Callithrix jacchus: one gene and its partners. The protein of the gene in region 2 purifies or fractionates together with the protein of the main gene of each other region. This does not show direct contact. Links are inferred from orthologs where the notes say so. Each region holds a gene or a part of one and is shown on either strand. Other genes may lie near its edges.

Region 1 (3,500 bases), on a different chromosome or scaffold from region 2:
TGTATTGTGCTTAGTACTGGGCCATCAGTGATAGGACCAGAAGATGCTCCTTTGTTACTAACCTGGCTTTACAAATTCTCCAAATGCCTCTCTGCTAATAACTAGTATCCAGATTGTAGGTTCTTTTCCATAATTTTTCCTTTCCATATTAAGATTTCCCTCTAAAAAGAAATATTTAGTGGATTTTTTGGTTTTGCTTTTCCATTAATAGCTTAGGTTAAAACTAAGTGTGGGACTGGGCTCAGTGACTTACGCCTGTAATCCCAGCACTTTGGGATGTTGAGGCAGGCATATCACAAGGTAAGGAGTTCCAGAACCGCCTGGCCAACATGGTGAAACCCTGTCTCCACTAAAGATACAAAAAAATTAGCCAGGCTTGGTAGCAGGCGCCTGTAGTCCCAGCTACTCGGGAGGCTGAGGCAGGAGAATTGCTTGAACCTGGGAGGTGGAGTTTGCAGTGAACTGACATCATGCCATTGCACTCCAGCCTGGGTGACAGGGCGAGACTCTGTCTCAAAAAAAGCAAACAAGCAAAAACCATGGTAAGTTTGGGTTTGGAATAAGGATTATGTACAGGACCTTCAGTATGATTTTTGGATGAAGTTTCTTTGTAGTCCTTTTGGATAACTTCTGGGTTTTGTTTTTGTTTTTGTTTTCTCCAGTTGTCACAGCTTCTATAGCAAACGCTACTCTCGGGCCCTCTATTTAGGAGCCAAGGCCATTCAGCTGAACAGTAATAGTGTTCAAGCTTTGCTACTTAAGGGAGCAGCACTTAGGAACATGGGCAGAGTCCAAGAAGCAATAATCCATTTTCGGGAGGCCATACGGCTCGCACCTTGTCGCTTAGATTGTTATGAAGGTAAGATAGAAAATAAAGGTGAATGGTGTACATCTGTGGGTGTGGCATCGGCCCTAAGGTGGAAGGTTTCATTAGGCCAGCACTTTCCAAACTCTGTTAGAAGCATCTGGCAAAGCTTTTCAAAATCCTGTTATTGGGTATCTCCAGTGTAGATGGAAATATACGGGGTTGGGAATAGACATCAATATTTCTGAAGATACCCAGGTATTAGCAATATGCAGACAAGTTGGGGAACCACTACACTGGGCATTTTACATATATTTAGGGCTTTCACTGGATTTGTTACCTCATACTTTCAGAATCAATTTTTTCTCATTTTTTTTTCTTCTGGTTTTGGTGAGAGGATAGTTGGGATGGGGTGGTTGTTTTTGTCCTCCCACCCCTGCCCCGACCCATTGTGGCATACTCATTAATATGAATCTCTCTGTGTGAGGCACCATGCTAGATCACTTAGTTTACCTATTTTTATTATTTTTATTTTTATCTGAGGTAGAGTCTTACTCTGTTGCCCAGGCTGGAGTGCAGTGGTGCAGTCTCAGCTCACTTCAACCTCTGCCTCCTGGGTTTAAACGATTCTTCTGCCTCAGCCTCCCACGTAGCTGGGATTACATGCGTGTGCCACCATGCCCAGCTAATTTTTGCATATTTAGTAAAGACGGGGTTTTGCCATGTTGGCCAGGCTGGTCTCGAACTCCTGGCCTCAAGTGATCTGCCTACCTCAGCCTCCTAAAGTGCTGGGATTACAGGCATGAGCCATTGTGCATGCCCTGTTATACCTGTTCTTTTTTGTGGCCATCTTACCTTAGGCCAGAGATAGTACTCATAGGATAACTCCACGTCCATATGATACTGTTGGCTTTGGGAATGGGTCTGTTCATTGTGACCTCCAGAGTGGGCACAATTGGGGTCCAACTGTTTTGTTATGTCATAGTTTAAGTTCATGTGAACTGACCCCTAGGAGTTCAAAGGAGCTATGCCAGCTTCAGCAACGTTTGGTGACTCAGTCACAGACATTAAAATAGATCTTACAAGATGCAGTTCCTCCAAAACATATTTTTGTAAGCATTTAAAAATAAACCCAGGAGTCTAGGAGTGATTTGCTCTTAACAGGAAGATGAGTTCAAATTTGAGAAATAAAATTTGGAAGTTGGGAGGGAGAACAAATCTGCTTAAATAGCCAGAGAGTATGCCTCTGGTGGATTTGTTGTGGGGAAAGAGGATTGTCTTTGTTCTTAAAGAAGCTCCAGCAAACCAAGTTCTGGTTTCAGATTAACTTCTTGATCCTGAAAGTGTAACTTCTCTTTCTTTCCAGCTGTTGTTATGCTAATTCCATTGTACTTCACGCTTATTTCACTGGAGCTCAGGGATGCAGTTGAATAGCCCCTCCTATAATATCTGGACACCAGATGTTTCCCAGTTGGCCAGTGAGGCTTTTCAAGCTGCCATTTGGAGATTTGGCTCAGGGCAACCCTTGTTACACCCTTTAATGTTTCTTAGAGTTCCCATTTGGAGCTTCCTTTGCTGGTAGAGGTTTAGGTTAGGCAAGTGCATGCTCTTTTCTTCTGAAGTTCCAGTGGAGCTTTAGCAGGGAAGTAAAACTATTCAATAAGTAATTGCATACAACTGTATTTGGAATCCAACATGGTGCCCTTAAGAGTTAGGTAATTGGCTGAGCACGGTGGCTCACGCCTGTAATCCCAGCACATTGGAAGGCTGAGATAGCCAGATCACCTGAGGTCAGGAGTTTGAGACCAGCCTGGCCAACATGGTGAAACCCCATCTCTACTAAAAGTAGAAAAAAAAAAATTAGCCAGGCATGGTACACATGCCTGTAGTCCCAGCTACTCAAGAGGCTGAGGCAGGAGAATCACTTGAACCCAGGAGATGTAGGTTGCAGTGAGCCAAGATGTCACCACTGCACTCCAGCCTGGGTGACAGAGCAAGACTTCGTTTCCAAAAAAAAAAAGAGTTAGGTAATTTCTGGTTAAGTAACCATAGTGTGTGGAAGGGTGTGCATGAATGTTATAAATGCTGCTAGGGTGGAGGAGTATGCAGAGAAAATCTGCCAAGGATTGTGTGGGTTTGGGGTTTAAGCTGTTTTTCTGTTTTGATGAGCACTTTGTGCCAAAAAGTTATTCCTCTGTTCTCCTCAACTTCTTGGCATGAAGAGTTGAGAGTTGACTGTTCTCAAGGTGGTCCCATAGGGCGTCTTGCTGTGGGTGTGGAAAGAGGCAAGGGCTGCCAGTGACAGTCTTTTTGTTGGATCTGATAAAATACTGTCATCTAGTTTAGGGAAGCCCTCAGCAAGTGCCTTTTGAGACAGCTGTTATGTTTCAAATGAAAGAGTCTTACTAGATTGCTTGACAATAAGTCCTATAGTTTGTTGAACTGGACTTTCAGTTTAAGACTTTAGGAGCCAGGTCAGGTGCGGTGGCTCATGCCTGTAATCCTAGCACTTTGGGAAGCTGAGGTGGGTGAATCACCTGAGGTCAGCAGTTGCAGACCCGCCTGATGAACATGGAGAAACCCTGTTTCTACTAAAAGTAAAAAAAAATTAGCCAGGTGTGGTGGTGCATGCCTGTAATCCCAGCCACTAGGGAGGCTAAGGCAGGAGAATCACTTGAACCTGGGAGGCGGAGGT
Region 2 (3,500 bases):
AATTCCAGCACTTTGGGAGGCTGATGCAGGCTGATCACTTGAGGTCAGGAGTTGGAGACAAGCCAACTTGGCGAAAACCCATCTCTACTAAAAATTCAAAAATTAGCAGGTATGGTGGCATAAACCTATAATCCCAGTTACTCAGGAGACTGAGGCAGGAGAATTGCTTGAACCTAGGAAGCGGAGGTTGCAGTGAGCGGACATTATGCCATTGCACTCCAGCCTGGATGACAGAGCAAGACTCTATCTCAATAAATAAAAATAGACTGACTGACAGGTAGATAGGTAGGTAGGTAGAAAGATAGATAGATATATAGGTAGATAGATAATCAAAAAGCAAGAATTGTCACCATCTGTGTATTTCACAAAGGGGTGTGTGTGTGTGTGTGTGTGCATTTAGTGTACTAGAGTACCTGCCATTTCTTAGTACCTATTGTCATATAAGTATGCATTTATTTTCACAACAATAAGAACTGATGCAATAAGGAAGTATATTGGTTAAGATTTAGTTAGCTTAGGCCGGGCACAGTGGCTCACACCTGTAATCCCAGCACTTTGGGAGGCCGAGGCGGGTGGATCACGAGGTCAAGAGATCGAGATCATCCTGGTCAACATGGTGAAACCCTGTCTCTACTAAAAATACAAAAAATTAGCTGGGCATGATGGCACGTGCCTGTAATCCCAGCTACTCAGGAGGCTGAGGCAGGAGAATTGCCTGAATCCAGGAGGCGGAGATTGCGGTGAGCCGAGATCACGCCATTGCACTCCAGCCTGGGTAACAAGAGTGAAACTCCATCTCAAAAAAAAAAAAAAAGATTTAGTTAGCTTTTATGAAGATGATTTGGGAAATCGAATAAGTAAAAATACTTGCTTGGTCAAAACTTCCAAACATTTTGCTACTTTAAGGTTTTTCTTTGCCTTTTTCAGTCTGCTTTACAAGAACTTGAAGAATTGAAACAAATTGTTCCCAAAGAATCCCTCGTTTACTTCTTAATAGGAAAGGTAAAGACTGGGGCCATGGTCCCAAACTGTGACTTTCATAGCAAATATTGACATTGTATATTTTATAAGAATGAATATACTTACTGTATAGTATCTATTGAGCAAATTCAACTAAAACTCCAAACTGAGTGCTCTGGGAATAACAGATTTAGTTCTTAACACTTAAGAAAATTATATCCTAGCTGGGCATGGTGTCTCATGCCTATAATCCCAGCATTTTGGGAGGCCTAAGTAGGTGGATTGCCTGAGGTCAGGAGTTCAAGACCAGCCTGACCAACATAGTGAAATCCAACTGCTACTAAAAATATAAAAAATTGGCCGGGTGCAGTGGCTCACGCCTGTAATCCCAGCACTTTGGGAGGCCGAGGCAGATGGATCACAAGGTCCAGAGATCAAGACCATCCTGGTCAACATGGTGAAACCCCATCTCTACTAAAAAATACAAAAAATTACCTGGGCATGGTGGCGCGTGCCTGTAATCCCAGCTACTCGGGAGGTTGAGGCAGGAGAATTGCCTGAACCCAGGAGGCAGAGGTTGCGGTGAGCTGAGATCACGCCATTGCACTCCAGCCTGGGTAACAAGAGCGAAACTCTGTCTGAAAAAAAAAAATATATATATATATATGTAATTAGTTGGACATGGTGGCACTCACCTATAATCCCAGTTACTCGGGAGGCTGAGACACGAGAATCACTTGAACCAGGAGGCAGAGATTGCCATGAGCCAAGATTGCACTGCTGCACTCCAGCCTGGGCGAGAGAACAGGATTCTGTCTAAATAAATAAATAAGAAGAACATTAATGGCACTGTGTTGTATTGATTAGGAAAGATGGCTTCTGAGATTCCCAAGGCCAGACTAGTCAGTTTTTTACAGACTGGCCCCCCCAGATGCCAATTAGTTAAGGTGCCTGTAGACAGTTGTTAAGAGTTTATATATATAACTCCATTTAAAATCACCATAAATGAAAGTTAATTAAGCAGTTTATTATTCGTTTAATCCCATTATCATTGTTCCAGTCAGAGTGATATTTACTGGAAACTTATTACCTGATAGAAGCAAGAAATTCTGAAAATAACATCTGATTATATTAAAAGGAAAACAAAAGCTAGTATGAGTTCATCTGTAAGATGAAAGTGTTCTACCCTTAGAATGAGTTTAGAGCACGTACACCAGGAGCCTAATATAAATTATAAATATTTAGAATTTTAGGGGCCAGGCGCAGTGGCTCACACCTGTTGTAATCCCAGCAGTTTGGGAGGCCAAGGTGGGTGGATCACCTGAGGTCAAGGGTTTGAGACCAGCCTGGCCAACATGACAAAACCCTGACTCTACTAAAAATGCAAAAATTAGCTGGGCTTGGTGGCAGGCACCTATAATCCCAGCTACTCAAGAGGCTGAGGCAGGAGAATCACTTGAACCTGGAAGGTGGAGGTTTCAGTGAGCCGAGATTGTGCCTACTGCATTCCAGCCTGGGCAACAGAGTCCATCTCAAAAAAAATAAATTAAATAAATAAATATTTAGAACTTTATAGTTGAAGCTCACAACTTAATGAAAAATGTAGTGCTGCTGTTTATTTTTAGGTTTACAAGAAGTTAGGTCAAACGCACCTCGCCCTGATGAATTTCTCTTGGGCTATGGATTTAGATCCTAAAGGAGCCAATAACCAGATTAAAGAGGCAATTGATAAGCGCTATCTTCCAGATGATGAGGAGCCAATAACCCAAGAAGAGCAGATCAGTAAGTATCATACATGTGATTTTGAATATTTAGAAAGTTACCTTTTTGCATAAGGATTTGTAGGATACTCTTATTTTTCTAACCATGGTGTTTTCATTATACCAAATTTAGGGAAATTGAACAGGGTGATGTAATAACGAAATGCATATAGAGTCAGGTAATTAGTCTGTTCTGGATCCAGTTTGCTGTATGACTTTGACAAATTCATTGCTAATTTTTACCTGGGCCCTCAATTTGTGTTTGAATATGTAACCAGTACTGTTTTATCTGCTTCATAAGAATGTAGTTTTTTAAGGAAGAGGATAGAGAAATTTCTGATAAGATAAATTCTGATGAGATGCCTTTGTTCCAGAAAACTTGGTGAAAGGCTTTAATTAAAATTATAAGCCGGCCGGGCAGTGGCTCACGCCTGTAATCCTAATACTTTGGGAGGCCGAGGTGGGTGGATCACCTGAGGTCAGGAGTTCAAGACCAGCCTGGCCATCATGGTGAAACCCCATCTTAAAAAAAAAAAAAAAAATTCTAAGCCATGGGGCCAGGCACAGTGGCTCACACCTGTAATTCCAACACTTTGGGAGGCCAAGGTGGGTGGATCGCCTGAGGTTAGGAGATCCAGACCAGCTGGCCAATGTGGTGAAACCCTGCCTCTAGTAAAAATATATAAATTAGCTGGACGTGATGGCAGGAGCCTATAATCCCAGCTACTTAGGAGGCTGAGGCAGGAGAATCACTTGAACCCAGGAGGTGAAGGCTGCAAT
Region 3 (3,937 bases), on a different chromosome or scaffold from region 2:
AAAGCAAATGGGATTAAATGTATTTTATTTTGTTTTTCCTGATCTTCTCATGAGAGGCAAATACAGGTTAAGGATGGGTGAATCTGTGTAAAGGATATAGAAATGTTCCTTACAAGATTTTTGTTGGCAACTGGTCTAAGTATGATATTATTTCCAAATAGAAAGCTAAAACAAACAAAACAATTGGCCTTGGGAAACTGGCCAGTCTTGAAGTAATCAAGTAAGTAGAAGCTGGGAGGTGACTTTTTAAATTATTATTATTTTTTTTATTTGAGACAGAGTCTCACTCTGTCGCCCAGCTTGGAGTGCAGTGGCGCGATCTCAGCTCACTGCAACCCCCACCTCCTGGGTTCAAGCTATTCTCCTGTCTCAGCCTCCCGAGTAGCTGAGACTATGGGAAACTGCCACCATGCCCGGCTAATATTTGCATTTTTAGTAAAGACAAGGTTTCACTGTGTTAGCCAGGATGGTCTCAATCTCCTGACCTCATGATTGGAAGGTGACATTCTTAAGGGACAACCAGTGTTGCAAAAATAATACGAATACCCATCCTCCCTCCCCTCAAAAAACCCCTAAATTCAGTTCTTCGCTTGCTAATGTGTGATCCTGGCAAAGTCATCTAAGCCGCTGAGCTTCAGTTCCTCCACTCCATAGAGTTGTTGCAACTATCAAATGAAAGAACGTATATCAAAGCCTTTCATGAACTATATTATTGCTGCTACCGTAGAAATGGAAAGTGTGTAACAATAATTTGGACTAGATCCAAAACTACTTTGGACACTTCTGAGACTGTGGCCGCGCGCCACTGTCACCTTCCAAAGGCCACCAGGCTTTCCCAGATCTGGCACGGGCAGCGCACCCCCCCCCGCGCCCCCGCTTTCCAGGTAGGCGGCGCACGCGTTGCTAGGCTCTCCAGGTGACCGCGGCAGCTGCCCGAGAGCGCAGGCGCGGAGGCAGACAACGTGAGAACCTGGCCACGCCTTCCGGCCTTAGCGTCACTCTGACCCCGCCCCTCTCGAATGCAATCTCGGGATCGCCCTGGAAACGCATTCTCCGGGAGCGGCAGCCGCCAATGGGAAGTTAGCGAGTGCCACGAACAGGCCAATAAGGAGGGAGCAGTGCGGGGTTTAAACTTTAGGTTAGGCCGGCTCTTCCCGGCCTGCTGCGGAGGAACGGTTGTTGGTTTCTGGTGGGTTCAGGTCCTCGGCTGGTCGGGACTCCGGTGTTCTGCTTCTTTCCGCTGAGCTGCTGCCTGGTGAAGAGGAAGCCATGGCGCTCCGAGTCACCAGGGTGAGCCGTTGCGGACTGCGAACTAACGCGGCCTTCCTCGCAGCTGCCTGCTGGAGCCCCCCGAGCGGGAGAGGGCTTCAGGAGAGATTTGGGGAGGAAGGTGGGAGGGGAGTCACCAAGAGAACCGAGGTGGGCCCAGGCCTGGTGGGGGGTGTGGGGGACGATGGACGGAGGGAGGAAGGTGAGAAAGAGACCTGGACGGACATTGGATAAATGTTTGGGGGAGGTGGAGAGTCTAGGAACCTTTTGAAAAAGTTATGGAGGGTTCCTGAGTGGGCCCGCCAGCAACTGCGTAACCCACTTTCCAGAGAGATGGAATCAGCAACTGGAGGCTTTTTCGGTTTCCTTTCAAATGTAAATTCTCAGTATTTTAGGGCTGGCGAGGACTAATTAGGAAATCCCTCTATCGGTAAATGTAGAGGTTCTCGGTGGAAATTGACTTGTCACGGCCGCAGAGTACACTCTGGGACCCACGTTTTCCCTTGGAACCCATATTTAGTCGGCTTTCCTTCTGGGAACCTCTCTTGTGCCCCACCTTAATTAACCCTTGACTTACTCGAGCTTCCGTGGACCAGCTCTTAAAGTAGTCTTGCTTCTTTCAGAACTCGAAAATAAATGCTGAAAATACGACGAAGATCAGTATGGCAGGCGCAAAGCGCGTGCCTATGGCCCCTGCTGCAACCTCCAAGCCCGGACTGAGGCCAAGAACAGCTCTTGGGGACATTGGTAACAAAGTCAGTGAACAGCTACAGACCAAAATGCCTATGAAAAAGGTAGCCCTCTTCCTGACCTAACTAATGTAAGAGCCCGCCTTCCAGCTGTGGTCCTTGATGCAGAAATATTCCATTCTCTCTGTTTCATCTACACAGGAGGGAAAACCTTCAGCTACTGGAAAAGTTATTGCTAAAAAACTACCAAAACCTCTGGAAAAGGTACCTATGCTGGGGCCAGTGCCGGTGTCCCAGCCAGTGCCAGAGCCAGAACCTGAGCCTGTTAAAGAAGAAAAACTTTCGCCTGAGCCTATTTTGGTAAACTTATTCTTAACATTGTAGAGTCTTGTTATTTCTTCTGTCCCTTATTTCACTGACACATGCAAGAACATTCAAATAAATAGTAATATTAATATCATTTATTGAGTGCCTAGCATGAGGCAAGCTCTGCCTAACATTTTACATGCAGTAACTCACGTAATCTTTACATGTACTCTCTGAGGTAGATATTATCACCTCTACTATTTAGGTCATGGCTTTAGAAAGGTTATGTCAGGATCACACAGGTAAGTGGCTCATATGGGATTCAAGCTCAGGCTGTCTGACTTCAGAATCTATGCTTTTGTTACGACTTTCTTATATTACTTTCTTTGTTAATGATATTAAGTAGTAGCTGCCTGAACCAAAGGTTTTATTGTCCAAGAACAAGCTATCTCGCAGAATTTATCCTCATAAACATAGAATATTCTCTTGAATTTTTTTTTTTTTTTTTTTGAGACAGGATTTCACCATGTTGGTCAGGCTGGTCTTGAACTCCTGGCTTCAGGTGATCCGCCCGCCTCAACCTCCCAAACTGCTGGGATTACAGGCGTGAGCCACAGTGCCCGGCCTGAATTTTTTTTTTTAACTGCCTAATATGGCTACTAAATAATAAGCCCGTAACATTGGAATATGTAAATGAATAAAACAGGAAGAATGCAACTCTTCAGGGAGTGGTTAAGAAGATGAATTAACATTTAGCCTCAAAGAAAAAAAAATGTTATAACAGGATGTTTTAGAAAAGAAAAAAAGATTTAGGCTCAAGACCAATAACTTTATATTAAATATCAAATGTGTAAAGGTGTCCTATCCTGTGAAGGAAAGGTAGGTCATGTAGAGGAGGATGCTTTGAAATTGCAATGAACTGCATTTTGAAGCTCTGTTTGTTTTAAACTTAGTTAAAACCAGTTAAGAAAATTACCTGAAAAAAAATTTTTTTTTAAGATAGGGTTTTACCATATTGGTCAGGCTGGTCTCGAACTCCTGAGCTCAGGTGATCCGCCCACCTCAGCCTCCCAAAGTGCTGGGATTACAGGCATGAGCCACCACGCCTGGCTTGGAAAAAAATTTTTTTGAGACGGCAGTCTCACTCTGTTGCCCAGGCTGGAGTGCAGTGGCACAATCTCGGCTCATTGCAACCTCTTTCTCCCAAGTTCAAGCAATTTTCCTGCCTCAGCCTCCCAAGTAGCTGGGATTACAGGCACACGGCACCATGCCCAGCTAATTTTTTGTATTTTTAGTAGAGACAGGGTTTTACCATGTTGACCAGGGTAGTCTTGATCTCTTGACCTCGTGATCCACCTGCCTCGGCCTCCCAAAGTGCGTGAGCCACCGTGCCCAGCCAGTTTTTGTATTTTTAGTAGAGATGGGGTTTCACCATGTTGGCCAGGCTAGTCTTGAACTCCTGACCTCAAGTGATCCACCCACCTTGGCCTCCCAAAGTGCTGGGATTACAGGCGTGAGCCACCATTTAGCTTGAGCCTGGCCAGTTTAGCTTCTTATATCTAAGGATAAAAGATTGAAAGATATTGCTTTAGTGTTGAATTTCTGGTCATAGTACATGAAACATGTAGCCAGCACAGTCTAACTGGGCATATCAAACTACATGAGGCTTTCTT
Region 4 (4,077 bases), on a different chromosome or scaffold from region 2:
TCTTACGTTATATTCGGTGCACGTAATAAGTCCCTTATTTTTTTAACATAAAGAGCTTTTTAATTCTTATTAATAGAAAATCAGGTTTCTTTCAATCCTATGCTGAACAGATATTTAAAGAAAACTGGCAGTTTACGCACTGCCAAATGACTAGCTTTCTGGTAATGTACATATTCCCCCAATAAGCCCTGGATGGAGGCCTCTAGGTGCTCCCTCCCTGGTAAACATGGGGCTGTTCATTTGGCTAGGTAAGCTGAGAACCTTGGTTTGTTTGGGTGCCTAAAAGAGAGTCTGTGTTCTACGAAGCATTGTCAACAGGGTTAATGATGTGTTTGGCACACATAAACGGGACAAGACGTGTAAAGTGCTTGGTCGGAGACCGACTGCATTTCTTTTTTTTTTTTTTGGAGAATGGGTCCTTGCTCTGTGGCCCAGGCTGGAGCGCAGTAGCACAATCTCGGCTCACTGCAACCTCCGCCTCCAGGATTCAAGCAATTCTCATGCCTCAGCCTCCCAAGTAGCCGGAATTACAGGCATGCACCACCATGTTGGTTTTTCTTTTTTTGGTGGGGGGCATTTTTAGTAGAGACGGGGTTTCGCCATGTTGGCCAGGGTGGTCTTGAACTCCTGGCGTCAAGCAATCTGCCCACCTCAGCCTCCCAAAGTGCTAGGATTACAGGCGTGAGCCACAGCGCCTGGCCTAATTTTCGTATTTTTAGTATAGCCGAGGTTTGCCATGATGGCCAGGCTGGTCTGGAACTCCTGGGCACAAGCAATCCACCCGCCTAGGCTTCCCACCGTTCGTGAGCCACCGCGCTCGGCGGGGAGACTATTTCTGATTTGTATTCAGCCCTCAGCATCTCCTCAACGTGATCCCACCTCAGGTTCAGGGTGCTGGAACCTGGAGCAAGAAGGGCGTTGTGCCGGGGAGAGTAGGTGGTGTGAGGAATCAGAGTGCAAAGGTCAGAAGACAGTTGGTTGAAGCGGTGTGCAAAGGAGTCTGAGGGGAGGTCCTTAGATCTTGCTTACCTTGGCGATCTCTACCAGGGGGCTGGAGTTGCCGAGAGGCTGCAGCTACCACTTCCTTTCTCCCGCCTTCCCTTTGGTTTAGCTCCTCCCTTTTCTCCCCAGAGGTTAAAAGCCGACGCCGACGCGGTTGCCTAGCGACACTTTTCCCAAGATGCCTAGGATATTGTTGTGTTCTTCTTAGCCAATCAGAGAGGCGAAGCGGGCTCAACGCCTGCCAATAGCCTGCGAGGCCATGGCCCGCGACGGTTAAACGGGGCCAAAGGAAGGGGCAGCGGGTTAGTGCTACTCTGGGGTTTCTCCGTTCGGGTCGTTGGAGCTCCCGATCCCTGGAGCTCCGCACTTGGGGACGCAACTGCGTGAGGCAGCGCGACTCTGGCGACTGGCCCGGCCATGCCGTCCCGGGTTGAGGACTATGAAGTGCTGTACACGATTGGCACAGGCTCCTATGGCCGCTGCCAGAAGATCCGGAGAAAGAGTGACGGCAAAGTGAGCGTGGGCCCTTCCCTGTGCCCGCCCCTGCTTAGGTTTCATTGCCCCGGGGCGACCACCCTGCGCCGCCGAAGGGAACCGAGAGGGCTGGGGAAGTGGGTTCCCGGAAGACTCAGCTGTCTTTCCTGGGTCTGCATCTGACAGCCTGTCCTGGGTCGCTTAAAGGATGGGAGACTGCGTCGTTTGATACACATTTATACATATTTCCATCTTTTCCCGTTTGTCTCCCAATTCCTCTCTTTCTCCTGCTTTGGCTTGCTAAGGGCCTTCCATTGGTGACACGTAGCTAACACCTGAGGTGTTTTTAGAGCTCTAAGAATGGCCTCTGAGACACAAGAAAGGGGCAGGACCACCAGAACCCGAAGCTTTGTATCTGCAGTCAGATTCACTCAAAGCACCCATTATTCGATTATTGGATTCATATTTCCCACTGTATGTAGGTAGACCTTTTACGGAAAGTAACACTGGACAGCAAACTGCCTGGCTGCTGACGGAGGAATCCCTATGAAGTTCTCTCGCCCTGGGTGGAATGGGGCAGGGACTTTGACCACCTCCAACCCCATTTTGACTCAAGTACCTTTTTGCCGACTTCCCACTAACAAACTGAGAATAGGGGTTGGGGAAGGCCTCATGTGCCTCATTCTTCCCTTATTTTCCCGCAGCATCATTTACTGCTTAAAAATTAGAGGAAGATTATGGAAGTAAACTCAGAGCTCCTTAAGTTTATTGAACTAAATTAGATAATGACTTTGATTGTAGGATATAGTTAAAAGGGAGGTCATTTTTTAAATCTTGGAACTTTCATTCTGTGTTTTTGGGCATAATGAGTTCATTCATATCTTGGAAATTCTTTTTTCAGATATTAGTTTGGAAAGAACTTGACTATGGCTCCATGACAGAAGCTGAGAAACAGATGCTTGTTTCTGAAGTGAACTTGCTTCGTGAACTGAAACATCCAAACATTGTTCGTTACTATGATCGGATTATTGACCGGACCAACACAACACTGTACATTGTAATGGAATATTGCGAAGGAGGGGATCTGGCTAGTGTAATTACAAAGGGAACCAAGGAAAGGTAAATGCAATCTTTTAAAAATGTAGCTGAAAATGGGTGGGTCTAGTTTCATTTGTTTTAAACATCTTGTTTTAGGATCAGTAATATGGAAGAGTGGACTTGTATTTGTTTGGTAGGTCCATAGGACTTTAGAAAATTCCCAGAGAATCAACACCCATATTTTATAGCAAAATAACAATTTATAGGCTGAGTGTGGCGGCTCACACCTGTAATCCCAACACTTTGGCAGGCCGACGCAGGAGGATTATTTGAACCCAGGATTTCAAGACCAGCCTGGGCAACATAATGGGACCCTGTTTCTACAAAAATTAGCCGGGTATGGGGACACGTGCCTGTAGTCCCAGCTACTTGGGAGGCTGAGGCAAGAGGATTGCTTGAGCCTGGGAGGTCGAGGCTGCAGTGAGCCATGAACGTGCCACTGTACTCCAGCCTGGGTAACAGAGAAAGATCTTGAAAAATATCAATCAATCAATCAATCAATAATTTATTTCTCTATTTGTACACTAGCTAATTTATTTCTCTATTTGTACACTAGCTAATCTTTTTGCAGTGATTTTTTTAGAAGTTATGTGCTATATGATTGCTTTGCTTTCAGGCAATACTTAGATGAAGAGTTTGTTCTACGAGTGATGACTCAGTTGACTTTGGCCCTGAAGGAGTGCCACCGACGAAGTGATGGTGGTCATACTGTGTTGCATCGGGATCTGAAACCAGCCAATGTTTTCCTGGACGGCAAGCAGAACGTCAAGCTTGGAGACTTTGGGCTAGCTAGAATATTAAATCATGACACGAGTTTTGCAAAAACATTTGTTGGCACACCTTATTATATGTCTCCTGTAAGTATATCAGAATTTAGATACTTTTCAAACATCTTTTTATTTATTTTTTCTTTTAATTTTTTGGAGATGGAGTCTCGCTCTGTTGCTCAGGCTGGAGTGCAGTGGTGCGATCTCAGCTCACTGCAAACTCTGTCTCCCAGATTGAAACGATTCGATTCTCCTGCCTCAGCCTCCTGAGTAGAGTAGCTAGGACTGCAGGTGCATGCCACTATGCCCAGCTAATTTTTGTATTTTTAGTGGAGATGTGGTTTTACCATGTTGGCCAGGCTGGTCTCGAACTCCTGACCTCAGCCTCCCAAAGTGCTGGGATTACAGGCATGAGCCACCGCACCTGGCCAAAACATCTTTTAATGTTAAGCATTGTGAAGCAGGGAAATTGAGTTTTCTATTTGTTCAGTAATATCTAGAAGCCAAGAATTAATAATACTGTTATATTTTTCCACATGGGCCGCCAGACCAATGAAGTCTCTGTTTTTGTTTGCTGTTTGAGTTATGTGCATTAATGTAAATATGATGAAGACAAATTCCTAGTCTAAGGTTTACACTGTTTGTCGTCTCTCACTGCGTTCAATTTTTTTGAGCATCCATGCAAATTAAAGCATATTCAGTTCAAGCTTTATGGAATGACTACCACGCATTAAAC
Region 5 (3,500 bases), on a different chromosome or scaffold from region 2:
ACACTAGTACCAATAAGAAAAATAATATAAGTCCATTATAAATACACATTTTGATTCACAGCATAAGTGACACACTGATTATACACCTTATCTAAAATAAGTAAAAATGAATACCAGAAGTAAAGAAAAAAGTTTGTTTACTTTTTATAATAATGGAACTTCCTTAAGGAAAGAGAAAGAGGTAGGCTGACCAAGAGCAGCCAATTCAGATTCTGTTTCTGTTATATAAATAGGTAACAGACTGTTTATATTAGTAATGTAGTAATAAACAAAGTTTTAAAGAAGTAGTACCTGGATGAGTTTGAATTTGAACGTATGCATGAGCCAGGAGCTCAGGAATGGATATCCTCTGTTTAGGGTCCCTTATTAAACAACACTATATAAACAAAAAAAATTTTAAAAGAAAAACAAAGCAGATTTTTACATATGATATTGATGAAATATTTTTCCAGATTATATTATAAAAGTTGCTTTTTAGATATCCCATTCAAATAATGACAAGATTATTTCTCCCAAGGCACTTCTGCAAAATCTCTAAGTATTTACAAACTTTAAAACATCTTCAAAGTAAAAAACTAATTCAGTTAGCAATTCTTTTGAATAGAATAGTTATATCTAAGCGAGTTACATAACACCAATCATTTCAGCTATTTCTTTTAAGTAAATAATTAGTTATATGAAATTAATATTACCTTTAACACATCTTGAAGATCTATCTCTGGAATATCAGGAAATTCAATTTCATGATTTGGATCAATTATGGCATGCAATTTAGAAATCTGATTAATTATATGCTGAAATGGTGTCTTGCCATAAGTCATATAGTACAAAATACATCCTAAGGACCAAACATCACTTTTGGGACTTATCTATGGAAAAAACAAACACAAAAAAGTTGCTGTTATTTTAATATAAAATGTAAAACACATATATGAAACATATATATGTATATATATACATTTAAAATCATAATTAAATCTCCATGAATGCCTGAGTACATTATGTTAATATGACAAAACATCTTTTACTAGTTTTCATTTCAGTTGGTTTTTCCATTAACAGAGCTTCTCTTTAAATCCTTCTATAACCTCATAATTAAAATATTTCAATTTTAAGACAAAATATTAAATTCTTTCCAACCTGGGAAAATATAAAACTAAAAAATATAACTATAGTTTTAAGGTTACTTGTTTTCCCCAGAATTATTGGAAGTTCAAAGTATGTATACAGTTTTAATGGCTGTTTAAATTACGCAACCCTTCAGACCTTTGGAAATAATAAATAAATAATACAAAGATTGGAGAAAGATTTACCAACCAAATGGAGAGCAAAAATAAATAAATAAATAAATAAAAAGCAGGAGTTGCAATTCTCGCCTCTGATAAAATAGATTTTAAAGCAACAAAGATATAATGGTAAAAGAATCAATGCAACAAAAAGAGCTAACGATCCTAAATATATACGCTCCCAATAGAGGAACACCCAGATACATAAGACCTATGAATAGACTTAGACTCCCACACAATAATTGTGGGAGACTTCAACATCAATATTAGATAGATCAATGAGACAGAAAAAAAATTTTTTTTTTTTTTTGAGACGGAGTTTCGCTTTTGTTACCCAGGCTGGAGTGCAATGGCGCGATCTCGGCTCACCGCAACTTCCGCCTCCTGGGTTCAGGCAATTCTCCTGCCTCAGCCTCCTGAATGGCTGGGATTACAGGCACGCGCCACCGTACCCAGCTAATTTTTTGTATTTTTAGTAAAGACGGGGTTTAACCATCTTGACCAGGATGGTCTCGATCTCTTGACTTCGTGATCCACCCGCCTCGGCCTCCCAAAGTGCTGGGATTACAGGCTTGAGCCACCGCTCCCGGCCGAGACCTGGAACAAGTAAACTTAATAAATATTACCAGTACCACATCACACCTACTCACAGGTGTAAATGAAATATCGGTTGGCCATTATTAAGCACAATTATTGGCATAAAAGAGGTTTTCAATACCCATTTTTAGAATAAAGCAACACTCCCGTTCTCTTTCCCTCTTTCTCTTCCTCTTTCTTCCTTTCCTTCATTCCTTTTTTTTTCTTTCTTTCAAAAAAAAAGAGAAAACAGGACCTAATTTGGAATTGGAGGCTGTGAATTTAAGTTCTGATTCAGCTACTTCTTAGTTGTAATATTTTTAGACATCAGCAAATTTTCTGGACTTTATCTGGAAATTGAAGACATTAAGAACATCTGCTTTCCTACCTCAGTGAGGAACTGAACTACTATGGATGTCATTGGAAGCTGTGAATTCTCTGTTGTTAGAGTTATGAGTCCTGGCTTTGAATGGGAACACTGTGGTCTTTGTTTATGGTTTATTAATGTTGGGTCTCTTAGAACCATGGCTCTGCCTACACTGGCAGGCCAAATAGTAACAGTAATGGCAACAAACAACCCCTTGTAGAAGAAAATGTCTATAAGAAGGGCTGGGTGCGGTGGCTCAAGCCTGTAATCCCAGCACTTTGGGAGGCCGAGGCGGGTGGATCACGAAGTCAAGAGATCGAGACCATCCTGGTCAACATGGTGAAACCCCGTCTCTACTAAAAATACAAAAAATCAGCTGGGCATGGTGGCGCATGCCTGTAAACCCAGCTACTCAGGAGGCTGAGGCAGGAGAATTGCCTGAACCCAGGAGGAGGAGGTTGCGGTGAGCCGAGATCGCGTCATTGCACTCCAGCCTGGGTAACGAGAGTGAAACTCCGTCTCAAAAAAAAAAAAAAAAAAAAGAAAATGTCTATAAGAATAAAATCAGAATAGCTCAACATTTGTTGAGAAGCTTCTCTGTGCTAGAACTAGGCTGTGTGCTCAGAATCGCCTCACTTAGTTCTTAACAACAACAAAAAATAAAAATACAACTTTAAATCCAAATGCATATACTATAGAACTATGCTGAGCTTGTATTCTGGTTTTGTCACTAACTGGTGGTACTATGTGTATATTTCCTCACTTCTGATACAGAAATAATAAAAGTACATTGTCATGGGCATCAAATGGTAAACCATAAATATGGTTAATCATAGGGGAAAGTTTCTGGTTATTATAAGTACTCAAGTTGTAAAGCAAATGAAAATAGAATTGATAAATGAAGTCAAGAACTGCATATCGTATTTAAGATGAACAAACTCATGGAAAGTCTAATAAAAAACATAACAAATCTAAGTTTTAGAAGAGGAGTGGAGGCTAAACAAATACAAAAATAATTTTATGAAAATATTTAGCAAAATTTTATGCCAGTTATTTCAAAAACATTTAAAAGCTAGATTTTCTAAAATGGAAAATGTAATTTAGTAAATAAAAACTCATTTATCAAGTAATGATTCTAAACTTAATAAATGTGCTAAGTACCTTATATATTCTTTCCCATTTTTATCCTCCATTTATTTTACAATAGGCACTGTCTATAAACCTAATTTAGAGACAGGCAAACTAGGCAAGTACTTGGCCATAGACAGTTG
Region 6 (3,500 bases), on a different chromosome or scaffold from region 2:
AATCTGTTTTCATAACTAACTTATTCCTTTAATAGATTCAGTATTTTCTGTGTGTGAATGACAAAAGAATTCGCCTTGACCATAACAGCACCTGTGTCACCCTGAGGGGTCACTGCAGGTGGGCTCCAAGGGAAACAGGTTTAAGGACTATGGCAGAATCTGCCAATTTTCCTCAGCATCCTTTTTCTCCTTTATCCTTTTAGTCATTGACACTCACTCATTGCTCACCCTACACCCATCCCTACTCCATGGCAATTTTCAATTGCAAGTAGAAGCTTCCAGGCTCCCTTGCAGCTAGGTGTGGCTCTGTTTGGGCCAATGGTATATAAGCGGAGGTGACATTGCCTCCAGTCGTGTGGCCTCCACTTCCTCTCTCATCCCCTTCCCCCTTCTAGGATGGAATATAGAGGTGGTGGTGGTGGTGAGCTGGCTAGCCTAGACCATGCTGGGGCAGCCCCCAAGGTCTTGCTACTCTGCCTATGGTCTAAGGAACTGCAACATCAGCACCCCCTGGGAGCTGGTTAGAAATGTGGAATCTGTGGCCCCACACCAGACCTCCTGGATCAGATTTCCCAGTTTACTAAGAGGCCCATGTGATTTGCATGCACTCAAGCTTGGGATGTACTGACTTGAAGGATGAAAATAAACATGATAGAAGAAACCTGGGTCCCCTATTGACTTCATGGCACAGGGTTGCCCTCCCTCCCATCTTAGACCATTTACCTCCAAACCATTTGGTAAGAGACAAACTTCTATTCAATGTAGGCCAGCATAGCCTGGAAGTCCCTTTCCTATATTGGCTAAAAACCATACCCTAACTAATATAAGAACAAATATCATTTGCAGGAAATAAACCTCCTCCATTTTTTTTTTTTTTTTTTTTTTGAGACGGAGTTTCGCTCTTGTTACCCAGGCTGGAGTGCAATGGCGCAATCTCGGCTCACCGCAACCTCCGCCCCCTGGGTTCAGGCAATTCTCCTGCCTCAGCCTCCTGAGTAGCTGGGATTACAGGCACGCGCCACCATGCCCAGCTAATTTTTTGTAATTTTTAGTAGAGACGGGGTTTCACCATGTTGACCAGGATGGTCTCGATCTCTTGACCTCGTGATCCACCCGCCTCGGCCTCCCAAAGTGCTGGGATTACAGGCTTGAGCCACCGCGCCCGGCCCCTCCTCCATTTTTTTTAAGTCAAAGGCTGAGCCACTTGCCAGCTGGACTTACTTAGCAAAGCAAGAATTCCTCCAAGAATCCCCAGGATGGCAGGAACTTGCAATCCTGCTTCGACATACTGTGCCTTTCGACAGACGTTGGCGGTCCCTTCACAGTCACATACGTGAACCTCTAAGGTGGTCACTTGGTCTTTATTCTGGTTATCCATGAGCTTGAGATTGATTTTGTACTCACCCACCTCTAAGTATATCTTTGGCTTCAAAATGAGAGATTCTTGGGCTGGGGGAAGCAATAAAAAGAAATGATGAGACCAGGAGGGAGAGAGAGAGAGGGAAAAAAGCTCGTTCCACAATAAAATTGTTAGTGACCTAAAGACATTTGCAAGCCGAGCAAAGAGAGCAGAGCTGCTTGGGTTTTAGTTAGGTATCTACTCTTTTTTTTTTGGCTGTAAAAAGCTTTATTTCCATTTGGTCTAAGGCTTGGTAGAGGGCTCTAGGGCAGGTTAAAAAGCTGACTAGTGGCTGGAGGGAGAGACTCAGGCAGAGAGTGGCTCTTCAGATTTGCTGGGCTCAGTAGGCTCCTGGTTGTGCCTTAGGGTGAACCTTTCAAAGAGGTACTCTCCCAGCCTGGGCTGGGGAATGGCCAGACTGCAGAGGTTGGTCAGGGGGTCACCTATCTTCCTGATGAGTTTCACTTCTTCATCAAGGAAGTGGCTCTCCAGGAAGTCACAGAGATGGAGGTCTGTGTGGATGAAACCCAGGGCATGAAGATCCAAAAGGCTCGGTTCAGGTTCTTCTTTAGGGCCAGAGCGACTTCCATTGTGTCCAGGGTTTTACCCCATTCATCTTTTTTTTTTTTTGGAGGCAGAGTCTCACTTTGTAACCCAGGCTGGAGTGTAATGGCATGATCTCTGCACACTGCAACCTCCGCCTCCCAGGTTCAAGTGATTCTTCTGCATCAGCCTCCTGAGTAACTGGGATTACAAGCATACACCACCACTCCCAGCTAATTTTTGTATTTTTAGTAGAGAGGGGTTTCACCATCTTGGCCAGGCTGTTCTCGAACTCCCAACCTCATGATCCACCCACCTAGGCCTCCCAAAGTGCTGGGATTACACATGTGAACCACTGTGCCCAGCCTACCCCATTCATCTTGACATGGCTTCTGGATGTTCTAGAGGACAGCATGGCCACCACACTGGTTTTGCGTTTATTTCAAGACATACTCAGCACCCTTGCGTTTCTCCTTGGCCAATTTGTGGAATAAGTGGCCCACGCCTTCCAGAGCCACATCATCACAGTGGAAATAGAAGCCCAGAGAGAGGTTGATGTAGGAGGCCCACAGATGCAAATTGACCAGGCAGTCGACAGCTGCCTCCACCTCGGTGGAATAGTTCTGACAATCTGGGAGTTCATGGTTCATCGGCAAGAAGGAGCTAACCACAAAAATGGCCTTGTTTCGTCCCAGGAGCGGGAGGTGGCAGAGAAGACAGTCCCGGAGATTGCAAGTGGAGAGGAGATTGGAGGGTGGTTAGAGGCTGGGAGAGGGAGCCCTGCTTGGGTTTTATATTACTGGGTAGCATGCTACAAAGCTAGATACCAAGAAAGGAAAGAGACCTTTGGAGTAAGGCCTCAAAGACAGAATGAACAAGGAAACAAGTATCAACAGAAGGGGTGGCATTTGGAAGTTGAGAAGAGAAACTGAGAGGTGGGGATCTGGGGGAAGGAAAGCATGGCAGTCACAGCACAGTTGCCAAAATAAAGCTCAGGTACTCGCTTGGGTCATTGTACTCAATGGTCCAGTTGGCACTCGCCCCATGTGTTAGTTCTGCCGTGAAGGGAGATGTATTGGGAGGAAGGTCTGCATCAATGATGTTGATGACTTGAGGCTCTGGATTCCTCTCGCAGAAGTACAAATTTCGGGGTTCTGGTATGGGGGCATTGTCATTCACATCAGACAGGATCAGCAGAAGCGTCCCTGTTCCAGTAGCAACTGGAGAACCTAAGAGAAAATACAGAGGAAATGTTACAGCTCAGAAACAGTCATGGATCCCCACTGCCTTCTACCAGACCCAATCCAGATCTTGTCCTAGCTCTTCAGTCGTCCCTCACCAGGCCCCACTCCATCCCCAGAACCTCCCATCCTACCAATCCCAGGGCACCTCCATTCCCAGGTGGGCAGGCCTCTGACCGTTTTACATAGACAAGCTTATTCCCACCTTGATAACCATTATTCAAGTTATTCCTCATACCAGGGACACCCTCCTCCTTCTTCACATGCCATTATTCATTCATTGAATTTTAACAGCTCCAAGAAATCATTACTGCCTG
Region 7 (4,013 bases), about 50 Mb from region 2:
TCCTCAGGCTAGGCTAGGCTCGCACCTGCCTGCGGACTGACCCTGGCTTTACTGGCGCTAGGTCTGTCCTGCAGCCCTTCAGAGCTGGGAGGGCTCCCTTTGCCAAGGCGGGAAGGGGACTCAGGGCCACATCCCCCAAAATATGATCCGTCCTGTGCAGGGCGAACGGGTCACCGAGAAGCCTTAGTCTCTTACCTGAATATCGGCATCTGACACTCCAAAATCCAGATTGGACACCAGCAGTTTCCCACCCGTCTCCACGCCGGCACCACCCCCGAAGCCACTGTCGAAAAGATCGTGCTGCCACTTGTCAGGAAGCTGTTTTGGCTGAAGGAAAAACCACAACAACAGCAGACCTGTGAGTCTCAGTCCAGGGCTTTCCCAGTCCTCGCGGCGACCCCGGACCCTTCCTCTTCCCGGCCTGAGAGGATCCGGCGGAGATGAGGCCGCCAGCGCTCCCTCCGGCCGCTAAAGCAGCCCCAGGTACGAGGCCGCACGGTCCCACCGCGGCAGCACAACTTCAGTTCCCTTCCACTAACTTCCCGCCGCTGTTGCCGCGCTCAGCTACCCCTCCGCTCACGCCGCCACGAGGTCCCGGCGGCCGGAACAAAGGGTTGAAAAGGGTCTCAGCCTCCGGGCCGGGCCCGGAATGAACGACCTCGCCCCCGCCCACCACCCCCTATGCGCCCTCCCACACGCACCCTCCGGACCTCCGGGCGGCCGCTCCACCAGCCCTATCAGCCAGCCGGGCTCGGCCTTCGCCGCCAGCCTCCCCGGCTTGCCCTCTCCGGTGCGGCCGGCCTCCACACTCACCCTGCTGTAGGGCGCCGGTCGGTTCCTCCCGCCTCCGCCGGCCGCGCCGCGGGCGATGGCCGGCCGGGTCCGGATAGGCCCGCCGCCTCGATTCACTCGCGCGGCGGCCTGCGCCCCGCCGCCGCGGCCGCCTTGGGAGCCGACCCGGCCGCGGCCCCGGCCCCCGCCGCGGCCTCCTCGCTGGCTCCGGTTCAGTTTAATGATGTCGTCCAGAGACATGTCCATTTTGTCGGCCATGGCGGGCGCGGAATCGGGCATCGGCTCGAGCCCGCGCGTCAGCACGCCAGCACGTCACCTCCGGCGCCGCGTGAGGCCTTCCGGTGCTACGGCCTCGGAGCGGCTAGTGATTGGCCGCCTGCGGACCGCAGCGCGCGCGGGACGGGGAGAGACGGGGAAGCGCGTGCGCACTGCCGCGCGGGACTCGGCGGGCGCTGCTGAGGGAGCCGGGCCGTGACTGTGGTCGTTTTTATACCTTCCCGCGCGGACGTCAGCGCTGCCAACGGAAGGGCGGGCAGAGCCGTGCGTGATTAGGTTGGCGAAGGTGCGAGGCCGCAGGGGGTTGGGCGGCGGTCGTTGGGAGTGGGGCATGCGCTCCCCTCCCTCCCCGCCTGCCCCGCCCTTCTGCTAGGGCTGGGGGCGCTGCGGGCGCGGCGGGTGTCCGGGAACCTGCGGGGGTCCTTGTTTCTGCGCCCGCCCGAGGGCTGTGCGCTTGGCTCGGGGCGGGATCCTGCGGGAGTGGCCTCAGCGGGCTGCAGCCGGTGCAGACCTGCTGCGGGTTGCTTTTTGGTTTTTGAGCCGGGGTTTTTGGTCTCCACCTGCAACCTCGAAGTCTCCAATCTCACATTTGCTAGTCATATCCTTTACAAGTTTTGGTACGGGCCCGGCGCGGGGCTCACGCCTGTGCTCCAAACTTTTTGGGAGGCCGAGGCAAGAGGATCGCTTCACCCTAGGAGTTTGAGACCAGCTGGGGCAACGTAGTGAGACCCCCATATCTAAAAAAAAAAAGTCGAAAGTCGGGTGTGCCATTGCACACTTGTAATCCCAGCTGCTTGGGAGGCCGAGGTGGAAGGATTGCTTGAGCTCAGTGAGGCCAGCCGGGCAACATAGTGAGACACTGTCTCTTAAAAAAAAAAAATTAGTCGGGCCGGGCGCGATGACTCATGTCTGTAATCCCAGCACTTTGGGAGGCCGGCTTGAACCCGGGAGGCGGAGATTGCAGTGAGCCAAGAGTGCGCCCTTGTACTCTAGCCTACACGACAGAGCAAGACTCCGTCTCAAAAACAAAAGAAAAGTAAAATAGAAACGGCTTACGATGTTCCTAGGCTGGGTTCGAATTCCTGGGCTGGAGTGATCTCCTGCCTTGGCCCCTTGAGTAGCTGAGACTACACTGTGCCAGGCTTATTCCTATTTTGGTGCCTAAATCTTCTAGTTCTGCAGACTAAATTAAGCCTGTCATCCTCTTCCCTTCGGGTACAGGCTCTGCTGCCATGAAGGTGAAGATTAAGTGCTGGAATGGCGTGGCCACTTGGCTCTGGGTGGCCAACGATGAGAACTGTGGCATCTGCAGGATGGCGTTTAATGGCTGCTGCCCCGACTGTGAGTGTCCCTTCCGCTGTCTGCCTGCTGGACTAGCCTCAGTGGCTCCTGTTAAATATACTTGCAGGAAATCCCCACATTTTCCTTTTTTTTTTTTGAGATGGAGTTTTGCTCTTGTTTCCCAGGCTGAAGTACAATGGTGCAATCTTGGCTTGCTGTAGCCTCTACCGCCCAGGTTCAAGGGATTCTCCTGCCTCAGCCTCCCAAGTAGCTGGGATTACCAGCATGCACCACCAAACCCTTCTAATTTTGTATTTTTAGTAGAGATGGTGTTTCTCCATGTTGGTCAGGCTGGTCTCAAACTTCCAGCTTCAGGTGATCTGCCCGCTTTGGCCTGCCAAAGTGCTGGGATTACAGGCGTGAGCCAATGCGCCCGGCCCCACATTTTCATTTTCATTTCTTGAAGAAAAGTTGATAGAAAAAAAGCCAGGTGGTTGGAACCCAGGTCAGTATAAAGATCCTTTCACTGCATTTGATAAGATGAAACTCAGCTGTGAAATACATGGCATTAAAAAGAGATTAAACTTTTTACTTGAAAGGTCTCAAAATTGAATGGCATAGGCTGGGCCTTATGGCTCACACCTGTAATCCCAGTGCTTTAGGAGGCCAGTGGGTGGATTGCTTCAGGCCAGGAGTTTGATACCAGCCTGGTCACCATAGCAAAAACTTGTCTCTATTGAAAATACATAAATATTAGCCGGGCATGTTGGTGGGTGGCCTGTAATCCAAGCTACTCCAGGCTGAGGCAGAAGAATCACTTGAACCTGGGAGGCGGAGGTTGCTGTGTGCCAAGATTGCACCACTGCACTCCAGCCTGGGCAACAGAGCAAGACTCAATCTCAAAAAAAAAAAAGTTGAATGGAATAAGGGCATTCCCTTTCCAGCACATTGAAAAACGGCAAATCATGTTTCCATATTAGCTTTATTTTTTGTGCCTAGTGATTTTTTTTTTTTTTTTTTTGAGATGGAGTTTTGCTCTTGTTACCCAGGCTGCAGTGCAATGGCACGATCTCGGCTCACCGCAACCTCCGCCTCCTGGGTTCAGGCAATTCTCCTACCTCAGCCTCCTGAGTAGCTGGAATTTACAGGCACGCACCACCGTGCCCAGCTAATTTTTTGTATTTTTAGTAGAGATGGGGTTTTACCATGTTGACCAGGATGGTCTCGACCTCTTGACCTCGTGTTCTACCCACCTCGGCCACCCAAAGTGCTGGGATTACAGGTGTGAGCCACTGCGCCCGGCCATGACTAATGATTTAAAATTTTATATCTGATGCATCTTCCCACACACTTCAGCCATGTGTCTTTTTACCCACCACTGTTGTACATCTGGCAGTTTCACAGTCATTCCTGCTTCTTGTTTCACCAGCTGTCCCCAAATGTCTTTTTTATGGTTGAGTGGTTTGAGCCAGGACTCGGCTTTTATTTTATTTTTTTTTGAGACAACGTCTCGCTCTGTCGCCCAGCTGGAGTACAGTGGGGTGATCTTGGTTCACTGCAACCTCTGCCTCCTGGGTTCAAGCAATTCTCCTTCCTCAGCCTTCTGAGTAGCTGGAATTACAGGCATGTGCTAACCATACCTGGCTAATTTTTGTGTTTTTAGT

Evidence for each region.
Region 1: the proteins of CDC27 (region 2) and ANAPC7 purify together in Homo sapiens (affinity purification with western blotting; 23 studies listed by BioGRID and IntAct, with this or other methods). This does not show direct contact. The link is inferred for Callithrix jacchus from reciprocal best matches to the Homo sapiens genes CDC27 and ANAPC7.
Region 3: the proteins of CDC27 (region 2) and CCNB1 purify together in Homo sapiens (affinity purification with western blotting; 6 studies listed by BioGRID, with this or other methods). This does not show direct contact. The link is inferred for Callithrix jacchus from reciprocal best matches to the Homo sapiens genes CDC27 and CCNB1.
Region 4: the proteins of CDC27 (region 2) and NEK2 purify together in Homo sapiens (affinity purification with mass spectrometry; 6 studies listed by BioGRID and IntAct, with this or other methods). This does not show direct contact. The link is inferred for Callithrix jacchus from reciprocal best matches to the Homo sapiens genes CDC27 and NEK2.
Region 5: the proteins of CDC27 (region 2) and TTK purify together in Homo sapiens (affinity purification with western blotting; 3 studies listed by BioGRID). This does not show direct contact. The link is inferred for Callithrix jacchus from reciprocal best matches to the Homo sapiens genes CDC27 and TTK.
Region 6: the proteins of CDC27 (region 2) and CDH1 purify together in Homo sapiens (affinity purification with western blotting; 4 studies listed by BioGRID and IntAct, with this or other methods). This does not show direct contact. The link is inferred for Callithrix jacchus from reciprocal best matches to the Homo sapiens genes CDC27 and CDH1.
Region 7: the proteins of CDC27 (region 2) and anaphase-promoting complex subunit 11 purify together in Homo sapiens (affinity purification with mass spectrometry; 8 studies listed by BioGRID, with this or other methods). This does not show direct contact. The link is inferred for Callithrix jacchus from reciprocal best matches to the Homo sapiens genes CDC27 and ANAPC11.

The regions. Positions count from the first base shown.
Region 1 is NC_133510.1:113,289,502-113,293,001, reverse strand, and holds part of ANAPC7 (anaphase-promoting complex subunit 7), read left to right. Parts: intron 1-662; coding exon 663-859; intron 860-3,500. UniProt on the Homo sapiens protein: Component of the anaphase promoting complex/cyclosome (APC/C), a cell cycle-regulated E3 ubiquitin ligase that controls progression through mitosis and the G1 phase of the cell cycle.
Region 2 is NC_133506.1:86,999,626-87,003,125, reverse strand, and holds part of CDC27 (cell division cycle protein 27 homolog), read left to right. Parts: intron 1-927; coding exon 928-1,002; intron 1,003-2,585; coding exon 2,586-2,742; intron 2,743-3,500. UniProt on the Homo sapiens protein: Component of the anaphase promoting complex/cyclosome (APC/C), a cell cycle-regulated E3 ubiquitin ligase that controls progression through mitosis and the G1 phase of the cell cycle.
Region 3 is NC_133503.1:140,376,152-140,380,088, reverse strand, and holds the start of CCNB1 (G2/mitotic-specific cyclin-B1), read left to right. Parts: upstream 1-1,137; 5' UTR 1,138-1,145; coding exon of another isoform or gene 1,146-1,269; coding exon 1,270-1,290; intron 1,291-1,892; coding exon 1,893-2,063; intron 2,064-2,159; coding exon 2,160-2,318; intron 2,319-3,937. Other genes in the region: uncharacterized protein LOC118151518, read right to left, coding at 813-929, 1,146-1,271. UniProt on the Homo sapiens protein: Essential for the control of the cell cycle at the G2/M (mitosis) transition.
Region 4 is NC_133520.1:16,824,881-16,828,957, reverse strand, and holds the start of NEK2 (serine/threonine-protein kinase Nek2), read left to right. Parts: upstream 1-1,277; 5' UTR 1,278-1,419; coding exon 1,420-1,515; intron 1,516-2,377; coding exon 2,378-2,595; intron 2,596-3,190; coding exon 3,191-3,431; intron 3,432-4,077. UniProt on the Homo sapiens protein: Protein kinase which is involved in the control of centrosome separation and bipolar spindle formation in mitotic cells and chromatin condensation in meiotic cells.
Region 5 is NC_133505.1:85,475,991-85,479,490, reverse strand, and holds part of TTK (dual specificity protein kinase TTK), read right to left. Parts: intron 870-3,500; coding exon 693-869; intron 377-692; coding exon 292-376; intron 1-291.
Region 6 is NC_133521.1:26,357,249-26,360,748, reverse strand, and holds part of CDH1 (cadherin-1), read right to left. Parts: intron 3,172-3,500; coding exon 2,947-3,171; intron 1,450-2,946; coding exon 1,222-1,449; intron 1-1,221.
Region 7 is NC_133506.1:137,489,908-137,493,920, forward strand, and holds the start of anaphase-promoting complex subunit 11, read left to right. Parts: upstream 1-1,213; 5' UTR 1,214-1,344; exon of another isoform or gene 1,345-1,354; intron 1,355-2,289; 5' UTR 2,290-2,300; coding exon 2,301-2,409; intron 2,410-4,013. Other genes in the region: ALYREF (THO complex subunit 4), read right to left, coding at 196-327, 814-1,071. UniProt on the Homo sapiens protein: Together with the cullin protein ANAPC2, constitutes the catalytic component of the anaphase promoting complex/cyclosome (APC/C), a cell cycle-regulated E3 ubiquitin ligase that controls progression through mitosis and the G1 phase of the cell cycle.